Linked DNA regions of Mus musculus: regions 1, 2, 3, 4, 6 and 7 are each reported to be linked to region 5. Evidence: microRNA targets listed by miRTarBase, many of them from high-throughput screens and not tested one by one. Region 5 holds a microRNA gene; each other region holds the end of a gene's coding sequence.

The links. The annotated mature microRNA mmu-miR-223-3p reads UGUCAGUUUGUCAAAUACCCCA and lies in region 5 at 1,701-1,722, shown strand. An mRNA with a match to its seed (bases 2 to 7 or 8) in the 3' UTR can be bound and repressed. Matches are read on the target gene's strand: a 7mer-m8 pairs with bases 2 to 8, a 7mer-A1 pairs with bases 2 to 7 and ends in A, and an 8mer does both.
Region 1: miRTarBase lists Phf21a as a target of mmu-miR-223-3p. The part of its 3' UTR that is shown has no 7-base or 8-base seed match.
Region 2: the mRNA of Glcci1 is a reported target of mmu-miR-223-3p. Seed matches in the 3' UTR shown: 7mer-A1 at 2,440-2,446.
Region 3: the mRNA of Arl5a is a reported target of mmu-miR-223-3p. Seed matches in the 3' UTR shown: 7mer-m8 at 336-342 and 7mer-A1 at 2,176-2,182.
Region 4: the mRNA of Adcy1 is a reported target of mmu-miR-223-3p. Seed matches in the 3' UTR shown: 7mer-A1 at 1,454-1,460.
Region 6: the mRNA of Cbx5 is a reported target of mmu-miR-223-3p. The part of its 3' UTR that is shown has no 7-base or 8-base seed match.
Region 7: miRTarBase lists Nf1 as a target of mmu-miR-223-3p. The part of its 3' UTR that is shown has no 7-base or 8-base seed match.

What each region holds. Positions count from the first base shown.
Region 1 is chr2:92,360,210-92,363,297 of GRCm38, forward strand. It overlaps Phf21a (PHD finger protein 21A), which reads left to right. Exons shown (of 19, transcript NM_001362829.1): 19 at 1-3,088. The coding sequence ends at 214. Among named protein-coding and RNA genes, the nearest start is that of Large2, 9.3 kb to the right of the region's middle.
Region 2 is chr6:8,593,044-8,596,139 of GRCm38, forward strand. Glcci1 (glucocorticoid induced transcript 1) reads left to right here. Exons shown (of 8, transcript NM_133236.3): 8 at 1-3,096. The coding sequence ends at 209. It also overlaps the pseudogene Gm16042. Among named protein-coding and RNA genes, the nearest start is that of Gm35621, 29 kb to the right of the region's middle.
Region 3 is chr2:52,399,530-52,402,625 of GRCm38, reverse strand. Arl5a (ADP-ribosylation factor-like 5A) reads left to right here. Exons shown (of 6, transcript NM_182994.2): 6 at 194-3,096. The coding sequence ends at 242. Among named protein-coding and RNA genes, the nearest start is that of Gm13522, 22 kb to the right of the region's middle.
Region 4 is chr11:7,169,169-7,172,264 of GRCm38, reverse strand. Adcy1 (adenylate cyclase 1) reads right to left here. Exons shown (of 20, transcript NM_009622.2): 20 at 1-2,852. The coding sequence ends at 2,550. Among named protein-coding and RNA genes, the nearest start is that of Ccdc201, 18 kb to the left of the region's middle.
Region 5 is chrX:96,241,184-96,244,279 of GRCm38, forward strand. Mir223 (microRNA 223) reads left to right here and starts at 1,634; the gene lies at 1,634-1,743. F630028O10Rik (RIKEN cDNA F630028O10 gene) reads left to right here. Exons shown (of 3, transcript NR_030718.1): 3 at 1-2,459.
Region 6 is chr15:103,196,903-103,199,902 of GRCm38, reverse strand. It overlaps Cbx5 (chromobox 5), which reads left to right. Exons shown (of 5, transcript NM_001076789.2): 5 at 112-3,000. The coding sequence ends at 262. Among named protein-coding and RNA genes, the nearest start is that of Smug1, 35 kb to the right of the region's middle.
Region 7 is chr11:79,578,063-79,581,158 of GRCm38, reverse strand. Nf1 (neurofibromin 1) reads right to left here. Exons shown (of 58, transcript NM_010897.2): 58 at 1-2,905. The coding sequence ends at 2,763. Among named protein-coding and RNA genes, the nearest start is that of Rab11fip4, 12 kb to the left of the region's middle.

The DNA.
Region 1 (3,088 bases), not on the chromosome of region 5:
GGAGATGCGCAGCTCCCTGGACAAGGTGAAGCGGCTCATCCGCCTTGTGCATGGCGTCGACCTCTGCAGACCTGTGGACTCAGAGGCCACGGCGGGGGCCCTCTCCAATGGCCCAGACTGCACTCCCCCTGCCAACGCCGCCTCCACACCCGCCCCTTCCCCCTCCTCGCAGAGCTGCACAGCGAACTGTAACCAGGGGGAAGAGACTAAATAACAGAGCCCTCGAGGCGGACATGCCACAGTCCTGGTGGCGAGGAGACGCTAGAAGAGCAAAGCCGGATTTCTTCTGGAAAGTACAGAGTTCTTTTGGTTCTTTGGTTCCAGAGAGAGAGAAGATGCTTGTGCCAGGTGGCACCCGAGTTTGCCAATTGATTCTTGTTATTCTGTGTGTACATGCAAAGACTGGACCATGTTACATGAAATAGTGCCAGCTGGAGGTTCTTTGCCAGCACCATGCCAAGTGACATAATATATTACTCTCTCTATTATACACCAGTGTGTGCCTGCAGCAGCCTCCACAGCCACGGTGGGTTCGTTTTTGTTTTGTTGGGTGGGGAGCAGGGACGGGCGGAGGGAGGAGAGCAGGTTTCAGATCCTTACTGGGAGCCGTTTGTTTAGGTAGAAAGACAAGTCCAAAGAGTGTGTGGGCTTTCCTGTTCCTAAACTTTTCACTACCATAAAACCAAAAAACGAAAAAAAAAGAAAAAAAGATAAAAAAGGAAATAGAGATTTAACTAACCCAGTGCCCAGAAGAGGGACGGGAAGGGCTGGGAGGGGGCAAGGGTGGGAAAGTATATGACATAAGCAGTATTTAACGTTCCTGGAGGGGCCGAAGTGCAAGAGGAGAGCCCCGCCCCTCCCTAGCTCGCCCCGCCCACAGCCTCCAGCAGCCCCTCCCCTCTGCTTGGTGTAGTGCAGAGCCCGGGTGGTTCTAGGCCTTGTTAAGCAGGGAAGGGAGGGTGCGAGGGGTCCGGAGGGAGAAAGGCGGATCAGAGGTTTACTTGAAAACAAGCTCCATCCCTTTTCTATATTTATAAGAAGAGAAGGTTCTAAGCAGAGCAGCACGACCCAGGTGTGTGTGAATGGAGACAACCCTTTTCTCTTCTTCAAGTTTATTTTGTTTCTGTTCTTGTTTTGTTTAAACAAAGTTTTGTTTTGTTGTTTATTTTTCCTTTCTTTCTTTCTTTCTTTCTTTCTTTCTTTCTTTTTAACAAGAACTAAAATAAGAAATAGAAAAGCTGTTTTTTCAGGCTGACGGTCCTGTTGAGGGTAGCGGAGACCTTGCATGATAGAGTAGGCGTCATAGTGTCAAGTGAGGTCGGTGAGTCTGTGTGCGTCCTGTGTCATCAGTCAGGCACTGTTCTGGTTTGTTTGTTTTGTTTTTTACTTTCTGGTTTTGTTTTCTGGTTTTGTTTTTTGTTTTTTCATGCAAGGGCAAAAAAAAAAATCTTTGTACCTGGGGAAAACAACTTTTTTTTTATTAAAAAGGAAAATAAAAGATATTGAGGTCTTCCTAGTGTTACTTAAATTAAGATCAAGGTAAGAAACATTGTAAAAATTACAAAAGTGCTATTTGTTTCCTAAAAACAGTGATTTTTATTAAAAAGGTGTCAGAACTGGAGAAAACGCTGTGTAGTGACAGTTTTTTAGCACAGAGCCTACTGATCCTGATGACATTTTACTGTGTTGTATCTCTAGACTGGTGTGCCAGTTTCCTGCAGGGCCGGGTCCGCCCCCTCCTCGCTCCTCCCTACTCAGACTTGCTGTCTCCTTGGTACAGGGATCTCATCTCCTGTTTGAAGCCAAAATGGAATGTGCATAGTGTCAGGGCGTTCCCACGGTCTCAGACCTTGCTAGAACGCAGGCTGGTGCCCACCTAGCCCTTCCCTTGGTGCTGCTCTGTCTTACAGCCACCAGCATTACTTATGCCTCGGGGGCCCCTTGGGGGACTGACCAGTGAGGCTCCTCACTGCCTGTATACTTGGCCTCCAGGAGGGTATAGGATGCAGGCTGGCTGCATCAGGGAGGAAATGCTTTGAGAGTCCGTATGTCTCTAAGAGCCCAGGTAGCCTTCAAGTCCATCTTGCGTTAAAGAGAGAAATCTGAAGCTCTAGGGGGTCTCTGCCTGCCCGCCCCAAGGTCAGAGTTCACTCCCATTCCACTCACTCACATGCTTCCTGGGTGTTCCTGGGCTAGAATCACTATGCTTGCCTTGTGTGGCCTAGTGTAGACTTTTCTTCTTGGAAAAATGGGGTTCTGAAAGGCTCTCTACTCATCTCCCCGACAATACCATAGGGAACATAACTCTACGAGACGCATGCTCCCAGTGGAAATCTTTATCTGATCCATGTCCTTGAGTGAAGGGACAGAGACCTAGGCTCTACCCCCAGGTCTGAAAGCAGCATCTCTCTGAGCCCGCCAGGCTCCCAAGTCTAGGAGTAGCAGGAAAGACCCCTTTGCTTCTTCCTTGCCCAGTTAGGTCCATGGAAAATGAGCTGGATCCTGACTGAAACTACAGCAGACAAGAGGTGCTTGTGAGAGTGAGCCAGGCCCATCCACACCAGCCACCCATTCACTTCCCAGCGTTTGAGAAGAGGGCAGGTAGTCTGGCCACACAGGCCTCAGCTTCAGGCCTCTGGCTTCAGGTTGACTGAGGGGAGCAGAGAAAAGCCCTCTTTTCTTATTTAGGAACTAAGGTGCTGTCTAGTTAGCGGGCGTTGGAGATGCCTGGACTAGTTGGATCTTTGGCAGAGGATCAGAGACCAGCTGCAGGCTGATATCCTGTCTCAGCTCCCCCAACCTGCCAACCCCCTGTTGGACTTGTCTGGGCCCATAGGCTGGGGCTTGGCACATACTACCTACCTGTGATGGGAAGAGGTTGACAAGCCATCAACAATCACTACAGGCCTTTGCTCCAGAAGAGCTGCTGGTGGCAGCACGAGACCCGAGCAGCATAGACTCCCATCTTCTGATGTTTGGAAATGAGTTGCTTTGAGTCAACTGGAGTGAAGTAAAAAAATGTAGCCCTGCTCCAAGCCTCCACTGTGGGTCCTGCCCCTTCCGTCTACTTGCCCTTACCTCTGTCAGC
Region 2 (3,096 bases), not on the chromosome of region 5:
ACTCCCCTAATTCTGGCCAGAGCTCGGCTCTGGCAACACTGACCGTAGAGCAGCTTTCCTCCCGGGTTTCCTTCACATCTCTCTCTGATGACACCAGCACAGCCGACTCCCTGGAGCCCTCTGCCCAGCAGCCATCTCAGCAGCAGCAGCTCCTACAGGACTTGCAGGTGGAGGAACACGTCTCCACTCAGAACTATGTGATGATCTAAAGCAGAGGGGGAGCTGGTCTCCACCCATGGTCCATGGATTGGGAATGAGATCTCAGACATCTATCTGCATGGAGTGACAAACTTTCCCAACATCACCAACAGCAAAGTACTTAGCATCACAAAATAGCTATTAACACTGATCTTGGCAGGGACCGACTTATATTCAGCAGTTTTTGTGGAAAGCAGTAATGCTTGCAAAAATGTGTGTGTCATTCAGCATTTAATGGAGACTATGCATTTCATAGTATGTCTGACAGATTAGTACTGTGTCCTGTGTTTTGTTCCAACATTTTCAGTATGAATAAGCTCTATTTCAAAAAGTTGCCTGTCTAAGTAGAAAATGTCTTGCTGTGTTTTGTCCTATGGAAAATACTGTACTTCAGGATTATGTTTACAATTGATCCAGGTGTTTGTTTCTAACTTCTATAATACATACAATGCAAAAAAAAAAAAAAAATGGCCACAACAGTTGCACAGTGCCCACCCTATGGCCTAGCTTCAGGTACTTCAGTTGAAGTCTAAACTCAGGTAACTTGGAATGTATGTCATATTGGGATATTAAATATTTCACAGCTACAAAGCTAAAGAGGGAACATCACTCTTTTGCCTTTCCTTGTTTTATGCATTTCCTTTTCTTCATTCCATTCCACACTAGAATAAGAAGTGCATTGATCCCTAGGAGATGCTAATCCTGGGTATAGGGAACATGAGGAGAACCAGCAAATTTGTGGTGTGTGACATCACTTTTGTCATGTGGTTACCAGTAGAACAACTGTTGCATTCACTGTTTCAACATGTGTAAATGTGGCTTTTTTTTTTAAAAAAAAAGAAAAAGAAAAAAGAAAAAACAAGTTGTGTTGCTCAGTGACTGACTGTTACAGTGTTGCAAATAAAGCCTCAGTAGTAGCCTACATAAACATTCCCCATTGCGTGTGACGAAATTTAAATGCAGGGATGGCTGGAGTTCATTTCAAAGCAAGTGGCGTTTTGCAGAAATAAATAAGGATTTTTCTTTATATTGGCCATTGGGGTCATAATTGCTACTATTTTTATCTAAAGACATATTTATGTTTAGCTTCATTTTAGGAAATTGTAATTTTCTGGTTACAAAGTGAAACATTTTGGTTACTGTTTTCCTCAAGTATTTGGTAAATGAGTTGTATTCATGTAGAGAGAATGTGTATGTCTCAGAACCAGTGCAGCATAAGCAAGCAGATTTCTTGTTGACTTTCGAGAGCAATAGCTTAAAGCTGTCTCATTTAAGCCTCAGATAACACTATCATGAATAATTTTGTTAAGACGTAGAACGCATGGAGTGGAGCAGAACCCCGAGTAAATAGCCTTGAACTTGCAGACTTGACAGAAGTTCTCCACAAAGTGCATAGAAGAGAGCCATAGAGATTCCTGTTGCCACCTGGAGAGCCCGACTTCAGACTTTATTTTTTTGCAGCACAGCCTGTGCAAAAGTAAAGGGACGCTTTTGTATTGGTGTTCCGTTGCTCTCAGTTCAGTTAGAGCCTAGAGTTCTCCCATCTCCACCTAACGTGTGTGGCACAATGTTTGGTTTGGTTGGTTTTTAGAGTCGGGAACCGCTGCCTACAGTTACTCTTCAGTTTTCCATAGGTCATACCTGCGGTTTCCTTTGACTCCTCTAAGGAGTCAACGAGTAGAAGGATGAGCTGATAAAGTGATGATACCGTGTTAATTTTTACAAAATGCTGTGCGTGAGTGTGCATACACGTGCACATGGATGTGTGGATGTGTGTATTCTGTGTGCTATTTTGTCACCTTGATGTCTCCTTTCCACCAAAGTTTGCAGTAATACTCTCTTCTGAAGGTACGCAGTCAGTGTTATAGAGACTGTCATGGAGAAGAGGACTCAGTTGACTTTTGCCATTTTCATAGGGGAACCTTTTAAAACAATCTTTTCAGCAGCAGACACCTTTAACCCTAATAATCTCAGGCCTTGATGAAAATACTATATTTTGTAGATTATGGTTAAAGGAAGAAAATTGCTAGTTCCGTAAGATAAATATGAGCTCCATTTAACTTCTTTTTTTTAAGCCTCTAACAATTTTATTGTAAGTAAACAAAATTATGTGTACTTGTTTTATTCGGCACGTGAAAACAGATATTTACAGATATAAAAAACTCGTATTGACAGACGTTTAAATGGACAGAGTCAAGTTGATAGAAGCATGACACAAATTTGGTAAAGCAAATCTCAGATACTGACACTGAAGCAAGTGCTCTCAGATCCATCAAACAGACCACAGCCCTCCCTTGCCAAAACTCCAATCAATTCTATCTTAGTATCTAAGATAGACATCCTGTTTGTTTTTCATAAGTCAATCTTGGCACTTTTATGAACAATTAGTTCCTCTATTCACAAAAGGCATCATAATTATTTTTACTTTCTTAAAGTTTGAGGGTTTTTTGGTTTTTGTTTTAAGTAGCCAAGATCTACAGTTGATCTTCTAAAAGGTCACGATCTTAGTAAGTTCTTTTTAGTTACAGGCAAAGGACCCACTTTACAGTTGGCTTTTAGGATCTTGCCATTCAAACAGTCTTTGTTGTTATGGTAAGCACACAGACACTTTGTACAATATTCAAATTGACAGCTTTCCCGTTTGCAGACTGCTCGCTCTAAATAGTGGTCATATTTTGCAGGGAAATTATAGCAAGCACAGGCTTTGAGGCTTCCCTTGTTCTTCAATGTCTGCCACCTCCACGAACTTGTTGTGCCAGCTGTAGGTAGAACCTTTCTGACCACGCTGACTGGAGGACTTGACCTGAACATCTTTTTTTGGGAGGTGCCCAGGTCGACGATGACTTTGAACAGAAGTTAGTGCAGGTCTGCCCACAACATGTCCTCTCGTTGCAGCAT
Region 3 (3,096 bases), not on the chromosome of region 5:
CCCTGCGTGTGTTAGGCACTGATCTAAGCTTTAAGGTAAAACTGAACCAAAAGCCTTTGGCTCTCCGGTGCCTGCAGGGATCTCTCCTTCTCTCCTATTTTATCCTTTGGGTTATTGAAGACTGTGCCTACAGTGGATAGTCTGTGACTTTTTAGTCCCTAATAGAATCACATGATTTCTGTCGTCTTCTTAGGTTATGCCAAGGACTTGAATGGATGATGTCACGGCTGAAGATCAGATGATCTCTTCTGACCCCTCCTCACAGACTCTGTATAAAGAAAGTGCTGGACTTTTCCTGAAAGCTGCAAAAAAATGGTTTAGATATATTTATAATAAACTGACTTAAGAGTTTTCTATAAGAAGAAAATTAAGACCACTTATTTGAAAACAAAGATGAAATGTCACCACCCGTTTGCGCTCTCATTCCTTCCAAGCCTGTGACTGGTATTTTCTCATGATGAATCCTCTCAGGACATGGCAGAGCTTGGCGAGTACAAAGGGAGAGGAAGACATTTGAACTTTAGAACTTTGTTTCAGCGTGACTCTCCCACCCTGCCCCAAGTTGAATGTTCCCTTCACATTGAATCAAATACAAATCAGCACAGATACTGTTTCCAGTTTTTAAAAATGTAATATTATGGAAAGTATTTTGCTTCAAGTTGAATATGTATTGTGTATATACCTCAAGTTCAGGTTAATGGCTTTGATTTGTGCTCTAAAGCAAAGCAAATAACACAGGTTAATGGTAACTTGTTGTTCTCCTGATCTAACTGAGTACCACCTTTGGTGTTAAGTGTCATTGTTTAGTTTACCCTCTGTTCTCTATGTTGTCCTAACAAGCCAACCCCAACCAACAATTGTTAAGCTGCTCCTTAAAAATGAAACAGGAGAAAGCCTGGCATTGTATACCTGTTTTTGTTGCTCAGTAATTCAGGTGGAAATATATAACGCAAGTGGGTAGAGCGTCTGCCAGACTCCTGGCCTGGTGTGCCTGGGTAGAATTACACGATAAGCAATGGTCAGACTTTCCTTCTGTGGATCCTTATGCCAATTCAGCTACTAATCGGTCATTCATAAATGGTGATTAAAATGATCAGGTAATTTTTAATTGAAAATCATGGTGTGAAATATATCTACCCAAAGAGGTAACATCCTATAAATAGTAGTAATTAATTTAGCTGCAACCTTTTTAGGTATTAAATTACATGACAAACAGTTAAAATGAATTTAAGAATAAACATAAGGCATCGTTTTCAATGAACAGTAATAATTTCCCAATTTACAGATTAGTGTCTACAAAGGTTTTCTTACATCTTCTTCCATTGCATAATATGCCTTGTGTAATAGTTAAGAAATCATTTTTTCTGAATGACTTAAAAAATTTGATTGAAAATTTGGCAAATTACATTATTTGTACTAGAATTTGACCTAAAACACTTTTTATGTTTGTTAAAAATATTTGCTTTTTAAAATTTAGTTAAAAATTGAAGTATTTCTGTCATAGACAAAATTACTCTGTTTTAACATATTCCTGGTGGACTATATCAACCTTTTGTGCCCTGAAAACTTGAAGGTTAACCCAAACTGTCAAGATTTAGGATAGTCAAGAAAAGGTTTAACTAGTTTTAGTATCAGACTTTAAAATTTCTTAAAGATTTTGGTAAGAAATAGAAGTCCACATACAAGCATTGAGGAAACTGAAAAATCTTTGTAAGACCCTTAATGGCTAAAGCCATTGGCTGTAATGAGTGTTACTGTGTGAGGCTTTGTGTATGAGATCTGTGCTGTAAGGCTCCCAGTGTTCCTTCAGCATTAATGCTTTCCCACCTGCTCCAAGAGAACTAGCCCTCAACCAGTGCTGCGGCCTGTTCATATGCTCTCATACTTTTTCAAATCATGATGAGAATTTTTCTCCTATATACTAAATCCTCTTAAAGACTCAACTCTTTGTAGTTTTGTCAAAGACAAATACTCTGTAAAGTCCCCCACCTACCCCAGATCTACAGCTTTTTAGCTTTTAATTTGAATCATCTGCATAGTTGCTTGGATCATTGTTACATCAGTTCAGCGCATAGTAGCAATTCTGGTGTGGCCAAGGTGTTGGCTGAAGTTTATTCTTCATTGGATGTTTAAAGCATTTACTCCATTGTTAAGGTTGGCATCATATAGTCAGTTACTGACATGGCATAAGACAGCATGAAACTTTACCACATTTATAAATATGAGGGATTTTTTCTTTTGTTGGTTTTTAACCCTTTTAGACTAAGCCTCAAAAATATTATCATACCTGTGTACTTGTACATTAAAAACAAAATTATTGCTGAGTAAGAAGATATTTAATATATGAAACTCTCATAACTGTCATTAACAGTATTAATTAGGTCTAAATACCGTGGAGCAGCCCTGATATCATGCTGACAGCTTACGTGTCAGAGGGCAGAACTCAGCCAGTCCTGTGGTTTCAGGTGTTAATATGTAAACAAGCATCTCATTTAACTTCACTGTGCTCAGCTTTGAAAAGAACAAAGATTTATACCTCTGTACATGTGGATAGATAGAAGTGTCCTGTTTTGATACTAATTTTGAAAGTTGATTATCTTCTCTTGATATCTTGGTTAAAACTGGCCACAAGATAAACCATTTGGATATATTTGATTTTGTCATAACATTTGTAAAGTATATGTTTCTCATGAGACTGAGGGTTTTATTTTTAAAATCCCCTTACATTTCTAGCACACCTTGGCCATCACAGTAGACAAAGAATACAGAGAAGGCAGTGGGTTAGGCAGTGGGGGATGGGTTTTTGGTTTTTTTTTTGTTTTTTTTTGGGTTTTTTTGGTGACATTTTCTCTTAAGAAAGTGCTTTAGCACCGCTGGCTGGCATCTTTAATGCAGGTGGTAAACCTAATTCCATAAGCATGGCCTGCCCGAGCCAGAAGGAAGAAGAGCTTGCTCCCTGGCCTGAGGAAGTGCCTCGTAGGTAGTCATGGAAGTCACAGGTAAGTGCAGGAGCTTGAAGACAGGCAAGAGGTCTCTAAGGTGTTCCTTTCCTTTGTCTGAGTGTATAGTATTAAGATGCCTAGAAGAGAGATGGTT
Region 4 (3,096 bases), not on the chromosome of region 5:
TCAATCCTTTCTCAATCCTTCAGGCCTACCTACCCTAAGTCCCCTTGTCAAGGTCCTCCACTGTGGCAAAGGACACACAGGACCTGGGGCTGTCATGTGGGCATCTTTGAGAACCACTCTTCTGTCCCTCATCTGATCAGCCAGAGAGGCACTAGTTCTGGGTGCCTAGAAGCCACTCTGAGGAACTCCAGGCTGTGTGAGAGGTTCTCTACCCTCCTCAGTGGCCTGGAAGGCCAGGGACAGTGCCACAGCCCTCAGCCAAAGTCACCATATACTCACTTGCTCTGGGTGCTCCTGGCTGAGCTGACTGCAAGACAGACAGACGAGGTGAGAAATTCCTAGTGCAAAAGAGCCCCATGAGGAAAAGCCATTTGTCCCAAGGATAGGAACACCTGGGGACGGGCAGGAGGCAGGAGCCACAAAGAAAGAGTGCTCGCATGCCTACCTAGGTTCTGGCTCAGAGGAATCTGCCCCTTCTCAGAGCGCCCCAACAACCTGAATCTTTCTTATAAGTGCAATCTTAAGATGGTCTTCAGGGCCATGGGAGAAACCAAAAGCCTGTCCTGCTGCCCTCAACTCTCTGGGAGCCAGCATTCTCCCCCAACACTGTTACAACAAAATACCACGCCTCAGGAACCAGACATGACCACCGGAGGACGATGAAGCTACCTGCTCTCCAACCCTGAAGGCTGCAGTGGAGTGCTGAAGTCAGTCTGGCCCTGGCTCTGGGTTCTAGCCACAGTGGGCTGACAGAAAGGCAGCCGACAATGCCCAGGCCGTGCTACCTGATATCATCAGAAAGGCAACAAAGCAGGGTGGGCATGGGTCAGAGTTCCTCTGCAGAAGGTGCTAGATGATACCCTTACCACCACCCACAAGCTCCATCCCTGGCCACAGAGAATGTGCAATCTTCACAGCTGCCCCACCCGGCCCTAGGGCACCTGAGGTGCAGCCTCAAAGACTTGGAGACTTGGCATGCAGCCTCCAGCTCTCCCTTGCTGAAAGTTTTCTTCCTACCCACAGGTAACCTGAGTCTAGACTCAGCTGAGTGTCCCAGGAACGGGCGCTGGCTGACCTGGAAAATTACCCAGGCACCAACAAAGCCACACACTTGAACCAGAGCTGAATCCAGAACACCACATATGCACCCTGCCGGGGAAAACTAGGCTTTGCTCTGCCCTATTCTAAGAAGATAGGACCCTTGGAAGGGGGCAAGCTCTTGGGGAGCCGTGAGGAAATGGGCCTCCACAGACAAGATCAGGCAGGGCTTATGCCCACCTGCCCTGCTTCAAGCTGCCTCCCTTCCTGTATTGAAACTGAGTATCTTCAAAAGCCAGGCTTCATCCCGCTATTTCCAGCCAGTTGCTTCCTACCAACTCCTCCAGAATCCTGTACCCTAACGGGATTTCCTCACAGTTGCAGTTACTGGGACACACAGGTGGGAGGTCCCAGGTGTCAGTCAACAGGGCCACTCTTTCCCATCACCCTGGAGCAGGGACACCACACCTAGACTCAGGAATGCACACTGTGCCGACTCTGAAACCACCAAGAGGAGAGCTGGTTAGGCCAAGGAGAGGATGTCTTCCAGCAAGGAGAGCACTCGTGGGTATAGTGGGTCAATCGCTCTTAGCATAAACGAAGGCTTGATTCTTGTTAGACTTACAGCGTCCAAGACACCACAGAGAAGACAGCACACACCCCTCCTCTCTGAATGTGCAGCCATGGCACAGGAAGAGGAGGGCCCACTGTCGCAGCAGTCAGAAGCCAGCAGCCAGGAGGGGTTGGAAGAGAATGTACGGGCCAGGAGATCAGAAGTGGGGCTGTAGGGCCTCCCGAGAATTCCAGAAGACCTGCCTCTGGCTGTTAGCAAGAGCCTACTCTTGGGGAAAGCCAGCAACCCCGCTCTTCATGCAGTAAGAGGTGTCTTTTCAATTCTTCCCATACTGCCCTGACCAAGACCTGACCAGCTCTTTGCTGTGCCCATGGTATGAACAGCTCAACTGTCATGGCCCTGCCCAGCGGGGCCAACTTCCCAGTCTGGCACTCATACTTGAAACTGCTACCCAGGCTTGGAGTTACCCATAAGCCAGGACCTACCAGGGCTAGAGCCATCCATAAGCCAGGGCTTACCAGGGCTGGAGCCACCCATAAGCCAGGACCTACCAGGGCTAGAGCCACCCATAAGCCAGGGCTTACCAGGGCTGGAGCCACCCATAAGCCAGTTGACTTGGGGCTCAGTCATGGTGGGCTCCTCTGCCAGCTTGACCTCCATAGCTTTTGCTGTGACCATGGAAGATACTCCCAAGGTCCCGCCACCTATGGCAACACTAGCCAGGCATAACCAGGTCATTAGGAAGAGACAGAGCTCAGTGTGCCCCAAGGGGTGGCTTGGGCACATTTCCCATTGGCCTCAGGCCACACTCAGACAATGCTTCTCCTCCAGCCCAGCCACTTGGCTCCTCTGTCTGGTCCTGGCTAGAGCCATGGTGGCTTGTGACACCCTGGAGCATTCTTGCCTTGCATGCATCTCCAGTGGCCCATGGGCTCCACTAGGCTTCCTTCCCTGCTGCTGTGGATGACAGGTACTGGCTAGTGGGGGCTGGAGGGAGCCCTGGTCTGACTGGGGGTCCAGCCGCGGGACACAGTGGGGGCCGTCTGGCCTGGCCTCCGCCTCTCCCATAAGGACACATCCTTCGTTCCAAGCGAAAGGTCCTGCCGTGGGAACTGTTTCCATCAGTCCTGCCTTCTAGAAAGTACGTTAGCATCTCTCCCTTGCCCTTCACGCTGACTTTGCCTCTGCACACAAACTGGTATGAGCACCTCTTCAGCAGCCGGTGGACTTCCTCAGTCACCTACCAGGGGAAAGAAGTCAGCATTACTCTTAGTCATGGATAATGAGGGGGTCTTCTGGAGGGTAGGAGCTCCCCAGTGACCTTTGACCCTGCACCTCACTTTCCACCACAGCTGCCTAATCCTGGTGATATTTGGACAACGCTACTTCATATATGGGCAAGTGGGGACAGCTGGGGCTAGAGACCCAGCACAGCTTGGGTGAGCCATTGTGACTGCTTAGTGCACCCAGTTAGGGGCTGTGTG
Region 5 (3,096 bases):
TCCAGTGTTCTTGGGTTATGTGAGGTCGGATAGGGCAATTGAGAGGCTATGGATATCTCTAAAGTGTCTAGCTCTCCTTACAGCAGATGATAAGCAGAGATGCTGTCAAGAAAACCAAAACCAATAACCCATTACTCCTTTCTCTTTTAATCACTTTCCTTGGCTTTTACTAGCTCCAGAGTTGGAAATAAGGTCTCTTTAAGCTCCCTTCTAAAAAGCTCTAGAAGTCTCATCCAACATTTTTCAAGACCTTGAGATGTAAGATTTCTGTCTCTATTTCTAGAGAAGACAATTGATGCCCAAGAAAACTTTAAACCTGGGTAGGACAAAATTTGATACTATCAAGCATTTTGAATAACAGGATCATGATGCTAAACAAAATATCAAATAAATTGAGATGGCTTGGCTCTTCTGGCAGCTGCCCTGGTAGCTATGAGTTCAAACATCTTAATACTTCCCTGCAAAATCCACTGCCTGTTTTGCTCTTTGTTGCTGTTGCTCTCCCTTTTGCAAGGGAATATAAAAAGCAGACAAGAAAAAGTGGTGGGGTGGACAGCCAAGGGACACAATGAGCTGATGGATGATATAATTCCCAAACTGTAAACAACTTGTTTTATGACCTTTTGGAAGTCTTTCCCTAAACATCAGACTTCATTTTCTCATTTATAATCTTGAATGGGTAAAACTAGATGACTTATAAGGGCATTTTAATATCATTAATTCTTTACTGCTTATGAGAAAAGGCAACCAAGTTAGACAAAGCCGGCTAAGGCCACAAGAAATTACTGTTTCAATTCTGTTAAATAAATTATCTATCTTTTCCCCTGTTAGTATCTATCTTATATGTTTAATTTTAAAGCACATTTTAGTCACTTTTATTTATGTACAGGGGATCAAATACAGAGTATTGTACAAGTTAGGTAAGTGTTCTGCTACTGAGTTTTATCTCTAGATCTTGATTGTTTACTTTTTTGTTTGAGAAAGGGTAGTATTATATAGCCCAAATTGACTTTAAATCTGAGGTTCTCCTATCTCTGTCTATGAAAGCTTGTATGCACACATGTACTATCATACCTGGCTATAGCCACAATTTTTGAGTATTTGTTAGGTAACAAACACTAAATTAATGGCTTTATATGCATTATTACATATTCTTGCCATGATTTCATGGGCATTTTTGTGGCTATGGAAGAAGTAGGTTTCAGGGACATAAACTCATTTATTTAAGGTGTTCAGCTAGTTAATGGTAGAGGTAGAATTCAAATCCAGTTTTAAAAATCAACATCTAGGTACATAACCAGGGTAAACAGAGCATACAAGAAGTTGATAGGAGGAAGGAACACATAAATTGTCCCCGAGGACAGAATGATGACAATTTTTTCCTGTTTCAGCTGAATAGAAGAGTTAATTGAGGCTTGGGCCACCAGAATCTCCAGACAAACACCCAGGATCCCCGTTTTTGTTTGGAGCATTAGCGTGTTTTGTTCACTTCCCTCTTTTGGTGTGTCTTAGTCAGTCATGTTAGTGTCTGCCATTTGTCTCACACTTAGGGTAAGATATAATCACCCTATTTTTTTCTCTTTCCAGTTGCACATCTTCCAGCATGTTCTTGCTGCCCAGTGGAGGTTCCTGATCTGGCCATCTGCAGTGTCACGCTCCGTGTATTTGACAAGCTGAGTTGGACACTCTGTGTGGTAGAGTGTCAGTTTGTCAAATACCCCAAGTGTGGCTCATGCCTATCAGCTCCAGGTCCAGGACAGAGCACATAGCCTGCTGCCTACATATGAATGCTTATGAAACATGAAGCTCTCTGGTGTTATTCTATGTCTTTAAGGGAACTATAACATTTATTCAGAGAACATCAGAGTAGGAACGATGCAGCTCTGGGGTCTACAAGTCTGGTATGCATCTGTGTACATTGTGAAAATGCCATGGACTGCATAGTGGTACATGAGGGATACAGGGAATGAGAGTATTATTTGATTTATTATTAATGTCTTCTTTCACTTTCCTCTTCTTGCAGCCAGAATAGCAGAATTTTCATACAAGCATCATGAATTCTATGAGAAAGTAGGAAATAAATATCCACTGTCTGGCCTTCGGAGCACATCTTAAGCTACCTACATTTTCTCTTTTCCACTTTGCTTTTATCATTCTTAAAAGAACCTTCTTGTTTATCTTCATTGGGCTTTCAGACACTACCAAATTCCAATTCCTCTTGGCACTATTGAAAGTTAACCTATACTTTTCTTTACTCCTTGGCTAACCACATACTGGTATGTGCTATTATATGTCCTACCATCCAACACATCTTCTAAAGTTGTCAGTGAATTTTTCCAGGGTATGTTCTTGAATTCCCTATTATATTGTAAGAATCTAGAGCTTATTATATTCAGTTGATTGCTGTCTCTCATACCATTGTCCAACATTTTAATTATTAATAAATATTTACCAATTAATTGATGTTTTACTAGTCAATAACCTTTTGCTATATAGGTCAAATACCAACCAGGGTTTTGCGAAAAAAATAAATCAAACTGTGGGTATTCTAATGCTATAGTGTATACAAGATGGTAACCAAAATGGATTTTTTTTTCCTCTGAGAAATAAGATTTAGGTCTGGGGCAGGAGGGCAAGAAGAAAGAATAGACTCAGAGGGAAAAATTTTTTGAATTATTGGTTTACACGTGTCTTTTTAAACAGAATTTTCTGAGCCTTTAATATTCTATCATTGCACTGGGGTGAACTTCTAATATAGAACTATAAAATGAAGCATCTCCAATCCCTCTCTCCAGAGTCTAACATTTCATAACATATATTTTGGCAAGCTTCTTTAGAGAAATTCCATACTCTCCCTTGGTTCTGGAGAAATTCCATACTCTCCCTTGGTTCTGGAGATACCTACTTTCATTCTTTAACTTTTCACCCACTAACCAGTGACCTAAATAACAAGACCCATATTGTTACCCCAATTTTGCTCAGAATTGTCGGAGGGATGCATCTCTATCTAGGGATGACTTACTGGCTTACCCTGCATGGAAAAATACCATTGTTTAGGGACAAAGACCATCTTCAGAAGATGTCTGCAGCAAAGTA
Region 6 (3,000 bases), not on the chromosome of region 5:
GCCCTGTAAAGACCCTTTCTACTTTGAGATCGAACCAGCTAACCTCAGACAGTGACACTGACAGATTGCCTCAGTTTCATGTCTCCTAAGTCTTACACCCTTTCTTTCCAGGAAAGACACAGATGAAGCTGACCTGGTTCTTGCAAAAGAAGCTAACGTGAAGTGTCCACAGATTGTGATAGCATTTTATGAAGAGAGACTGACGTGGCACGCATATCCAGAGGATGCGGAAAACAAAGAAAAAGAAAGCGCGAAGAGCTAAAGGAGGAGGCAGTCTCTGTCGTTTCTCTTTGTATATAATACCTTTACTTTCCTGCCTCCTCTCTCTCCTCCCACCCCTTTCCATCCTAAACGCATCCATAAACCACTGCGCTCATCACTGTGCTCCACGGGGGAGATGCTGGTATTGGTTCTCCTGTAATATAACTGATGATCTGATTCCTAAGTGTAGCTCTGTGAACGTCAGGCATTACGTCATTCACATGCTGTGTGGTTCCCATAGTGTTCTCTTTCACCCTGATCTTTTCCTTCTGTTCCCCTGTAACTTTTTAATCACCTTAGAGTCATGATCTTTGGGGTTGGTTGCTTTGGGAGATTTTATTATGACGATGACTTCAGTTTCTTGATTGTTATTAGATTATATTGATGACCAGCTGGCCTTTGTTTTGACATACTGGCATAGAAAGGATATTGTCCATCTATTTAGAAAACTATTAAGGGCAACCTACCTGTTGTGTCTTTTCCGATCTCATTTAGCTCTGCCAGGAGAATACAGGGTCCCTGGTGTGGTCTTGGGCCGCTCCTGACTATCCTCACATACCCTCCCATAACAATTCAGTTCTCTTAGGGCTTGAAACTTCACATTTAAATCTGTCAAGGCGCTCTGTTTAGCCCTCACACTTTCTTGGCCTTGTTACTTTCAATCCCTGATTCTGCTTCTGTAAAGTGGTATCAATTTGTTATTAAATGACAAGATTAACTGTGGAGTCTGTAAGCTGTAGTGCAGGAAGATAATAGGATGGGGCTGGATACAGTTATCACGTGGTGTGTGTGTATTCTTTCCTTTATCCCTCATATTTAGACTGTATTTATGTAGGTGTGAGTGATTGCCTGGTGCTTGCTTGTGCCAAGGTGCTGGGCACCCTCTAACCCTGCCAATTTTTATGGCCTCCCAAAGCATTCCTGTACCAAAGAGGCATCAGCAGATCCATGCCATTCCCTTCCGTGCCATTATTTTAAGTTGGGAATTTTTGGAGAGGAGCCACTAGCCACAGTGTCACTGGCTTTTACGTCCTTGCAGCAGTGATGCTCTTTAATTTACTGCCTCATGGCTTGTGGATTTGCCACCAAGTCCTCAGAGGATTAATGTTCCTGTCCTCTCCACTTGAGTCTGAGGATTTTTAGTTGTAGCTTATTTTAAAAACATAGAAGATTATGGCCTCAGAAACCGACAGGTCTTGATATTAACTTTTTGACACAACCTTCTCTCACAACAAACTACTTCCTTTTTGGTTTACTCTTGCTTTGCTATTATTTCTGCTCCTATTCTACTTTTTGTCCCCTGAAAAATGCCCATCTTCTCTTCATTTCTTTCTTCTTGTATAGTTGAGGAAGCTGGAGAATCAGGACTAAAAGTAAGGAAATAACAGAGTTTGGAGCTGAGCAGTCTTGTCCCAGCTCCAACGCTGAGGAAAAAGAATAAACGCTGAAGTAGCCTTAATTCCAGACTTCGTCAGCTACTGAGCTGCTTTTGTTGTTGCGTTTGATTTTTTTAAAGCAAAGCTGTCTGGGCCAGAGCATCTAGCCACCGGGTTGTTGATAGTAATGAGAGGAATGGATGGAGTGCTTCAGTCCACAGATGAGCCAGATAATATGCAAACCCTAGACCCATTCACAGCATTTGTTAACACTGCTTTCCTGCTCAGCTGCTACTTGAGTTCTGTGTTCTTGAATAAATTATGCCAACAATTATACTGCACCGTTGAGAAGGCAGCTTGTACTGCAGTGACATGGTAGACAGACAGTGAAGCTTTGCCTTACTTAAGTCAGCCAGGAACAACTTGTGAATGGTAATGTGGTGGGAGAATAGCACCTAACCCATACCTCACATGGGTGAGCTTTTTCTCTCTGTAGTCCGTAGTTGTCTGAAGATGTTAGAGGCAATATCAAATGCTGGATAAGTGACCGATGTCTGTACTTAACTTGATGAAATGAAGGATGGTTAGAGAGCAGATCTGTCCTTCAGGCAACCAAGGCTAGTAGTAATTAGGGCAGATGAAAATAGCACAGAAGTAGCCAGAGCTCCTGAGGATCTTGACTGGCAACTAGAGGAAAGGACCACCCACTGAGTAGTCAGGAGTAGTGGGCATGTACATTGCAGTGACCATATTTTTTAAAGCAAAATCTTAGCCTTTGGGCAACCATAACAATGATATTTAGTCCTATATAATATAAACCATAATAATGAGATTAGTCCTAAGAAGTCTGGCCTGGTGACAAAAAAGTACACAGTCCCAGACTGATACAGGGGTACTGTATGTTCAAGGCCTGTTTGGGAACTTAGTGAGACCCTGACTCAAGATAAAAAATAAAAGGACCGAGGATACAGTCTGAGAGTTAATGCCTTGTAATGCAAAAAATGAAGGGAAAAAGTGTCCTGCTGGTTTTAATGCTCTTTGTAATTTTTTTCTCTTAAAAGTTCATGGAGTATTGGTTTTCTGTTAACTATTACCAAAACATCCTTGTTTTCTTCTTAGTACTTTTCCTGGTTATATATAGAAATAGGGAACCGGGATTCTAGTATTATCTTCAACACTCAGTGTAAAGAAGCCAGACACCCATCTGTGCCTCCAGCATGTGTTGTGCCAAGTAGCTTGTTTCTGCTGGAGAATTGCAGCCTTGGACAGAAGTGTTTCCTAGAGCTATCTTCCCTCTAAAGAGTTCACAACCAAAGGTGAAATACTCCTAAACACTTGACTATATTCTCCTGTGTTAATCCTC
Region 7 (3,096 bases), not on the chromosome of region 5:
ACTATTTACAGGGGAATATACCGCATTAAAAAAAAATTGTGTGGCTGACACTAAGTGAATTTTTGTGGAAGTCCATTGCATAACATTGAATAAGACATGCTTCAATATGCTTGGGGAGTAATGTAGAAAAAAAAAGGGGGGGGGGGAAACTCCTCCAAACCTGGAAAACAAAAGCCAGATCTCCCAGAGGAAACTTGCAACCTTAAACCCCCCAAGGAAGTGGTTGCTGGGGCGAGTCCCCCCACTGGGGCTGTGGCAGTCTGCACTGTCCAGGCTCCGGCCTCAGCACTATGCAGGCAAGAGTAACTGTCCAGCAGAGTGCAGTGTCCCCACAGTGAGGGCATGGGAGCCCAGGGGAGGAGTACCAGCCAAACGCACAAACACAGCCGTTAGTGTTTTTTTGTTTTCTTTTAAGTCAGGGAAACACAAATTGAAAATGAATCACAGAACTCACACCAAATTGTGTAAAATGGGACATTACTCAGACCTTCAGCTGCTCCTGTAATTAGAGTCTCCTTTGGGGGAGGGGCAGCTAGTGATACTTTAAGCTCTGTAGGTTCAGTTGCTTGCAAAGATAGACTTTCCTCAAAAGCTGGAAGTTCTGTCTATTAGATAAAACTGGAATGCTGCCCCAGTTTCCTGGGATGTACTGGTCAGAAGTGGCTCCGTTTGATCTTTCCATAGGAGCTCAAGTGGGGCAGTTTAAGAACTATGGGGAAACCCGCTACAGGAAGAGTGCACATTTATAAGTTGTCCTGTTTTGATGGGGGAAGCAAAACAGTAATGGGCCAGTAATGGAACTCAATGACTTTAAAAAAGCCAAGCAACTAGAGTTACAGCAGCCTCAGTCTGTGCTGCCCACGGTTGCAGGAGCCAGAGCGGGGTGCACCCCAGCAGTACTGCGGTGGGGAGCCGGGCCTGGCAGCTAAGCCACGGGCCTCCTGCGGCTAAACTCAGCTGGCATCTCAGCCTCCCAGCCTTGGTTATCTGCTCTGACAGTTATTCTAAGGCAGCCTTTACAAGAGCTCAGTTTGCTGCATCTGTCTCCAGTAGTCTCCAGTGATTCTATGTTAAAATCACTACTAACACTAAGGGGTTTCCTTTTATTTTGGCAAATGGTTCTTACTTTTCCCAGGGCTGTAAACAAATTAAAAAAATTAAATTGTTATTTCTGAATATCAAAAGCAATTTTATTTACATTAACATATTACATTGTTACTGTATGGATAAGTGTGAAACGTGTTATATTATTAAAGTCAGAATACTTAAATGTACCATTATTTATTGACTTAGCTGTGGAGTTTAACTTACTGAAATCCACTAGTGAGCCAGCACTACAGGACCTGTCCACACCCTACTGGGTTTCTTTTGGTCCCTCCCAAAGCCATTATGTCTTAATACATGAAGGGAACCTGGAAGTAGAGGGATAATACCTTTTAAAAATAAATATAGTTCAATCTTAACTGAGAGCATCCATGTACTACTGTGCTCACTAAAGTCAAACTGTCTTGCATCCTGCGGGTACCATGAAGCAGCTGGGTGTGCATCCCTTGGAAGGGCCTGAGTCCCACTGGTCCAGCCACTCTGCACAGCAGCGATCCTAGAGGTCCTGTGTCCATACCACACAGGCCGGCCAGACTTCACAGTGACTAAATGCAATCCTATCAGATAGAATCCAAATGTTTTGCTAGAGATTCCTGATTTTATTTGGAGGAGAGGAGTAAGATTAAAAGATTTTAAAAATACATCTTATCAAAGAAATTTATGATAATATACAGCATATTCTGTTTCTTGGAAAATTATTTAACAAAATAAAAATATCACCTACCCTATGTCACGTACCATTCCATTTTGCTACGGAGCCAATGGAAAGAGCTATGAAAATTACCTTGTGGAAACGAGTCTCACCACTCTGTCTGCAAATTACCCTGCTTAGAATCACTTAGGAAAGAGGAGAAAGCAAGTGCAAACACAAGTGTAGTTTCTATACTTAGTATAGTCTTGGCTTAAAAAAAAAAAAAAAGAACAGAACACCTTCATATGTAAAAATTAAAAGATAATCAACTGGAAAAAAATTACCCAGGTTGGATGACCAAGTATGTATAAGGCCTCAGAACCAATAGCTTTAATTCAGCAATGTTAAGATGTGTGTGTCACGCTTATTTTCCTGTACTTATTGCTAAGACTCAAATGTTAGTATTTCTTAAGAATTCGTTACAAAATATTAGTTTGCCCCTCCCTCAGTCCCTGGCCTGTGGCTTTATTGAGGCTTGGCCTCTGTGGTTCCTTCAACTACATAAGGTAAAAAAAAAAAAAAAAAAAAGTCCACAGCTAGAAGATTAAATACACTGGGGTTAAAATATGATTTCTCCCCCAAACTTATAAGTGTGTAACTAAGACGACCCCTTCACTCTGCAAGACGGGAACACAGAAGGCCGTCCTCCGCGTACGGCCCGTGGCTTGCGGCAGCGGCAGCACTGCAGGGTTCATCCACACCCACGGTCCACGCTCTCAGTCAGGCCTCCTGACCGCCTGCTGTCTCTGCTGTCCTCAGAACAAGTGCTCAACCAGACACATGCCAAAGTAGAAGGAAAAACATCAAAGAAAAGCAGCATTAAACTTAGGCAATGCTCCAAGAGATGACCGTCTGGCGACACGGCGACCAGATGGGATCATAAGACACGAAGTGCAGCAGTGCAAGGTGAGGGGTCACTAGTGAGAAGCCATGTTAGGTTGGTTTGAAGAGTGAAACAAAGAACGCTTCACACGATCTTCTTAATGCTATTACGTTTGAAACTGCCAGCACTTCTTTGCTTCTGCACTTGGCTTGCGGATCCATGGCGAGTCCGTCCACTGTTACAGTGGCCAGCGGTGGGGGAGAGTTCAACGTTCTCCTTGTCGAGTCCTGGAGAGACACAACAGCTGGTTACTCCTCCTCTCCTGACGCTAGCTCAGGACCCAATCTCATTCATTGCTTGTGGGTGAGATTGGAATGGTGAGCAGTCCCAGCATACTCCACATTCACAGTAAACTGCCAGGACATTTACAAAGGCCTTGCCACATACTTTGCCTCACACCTTGCTAAGCTGAATTTTC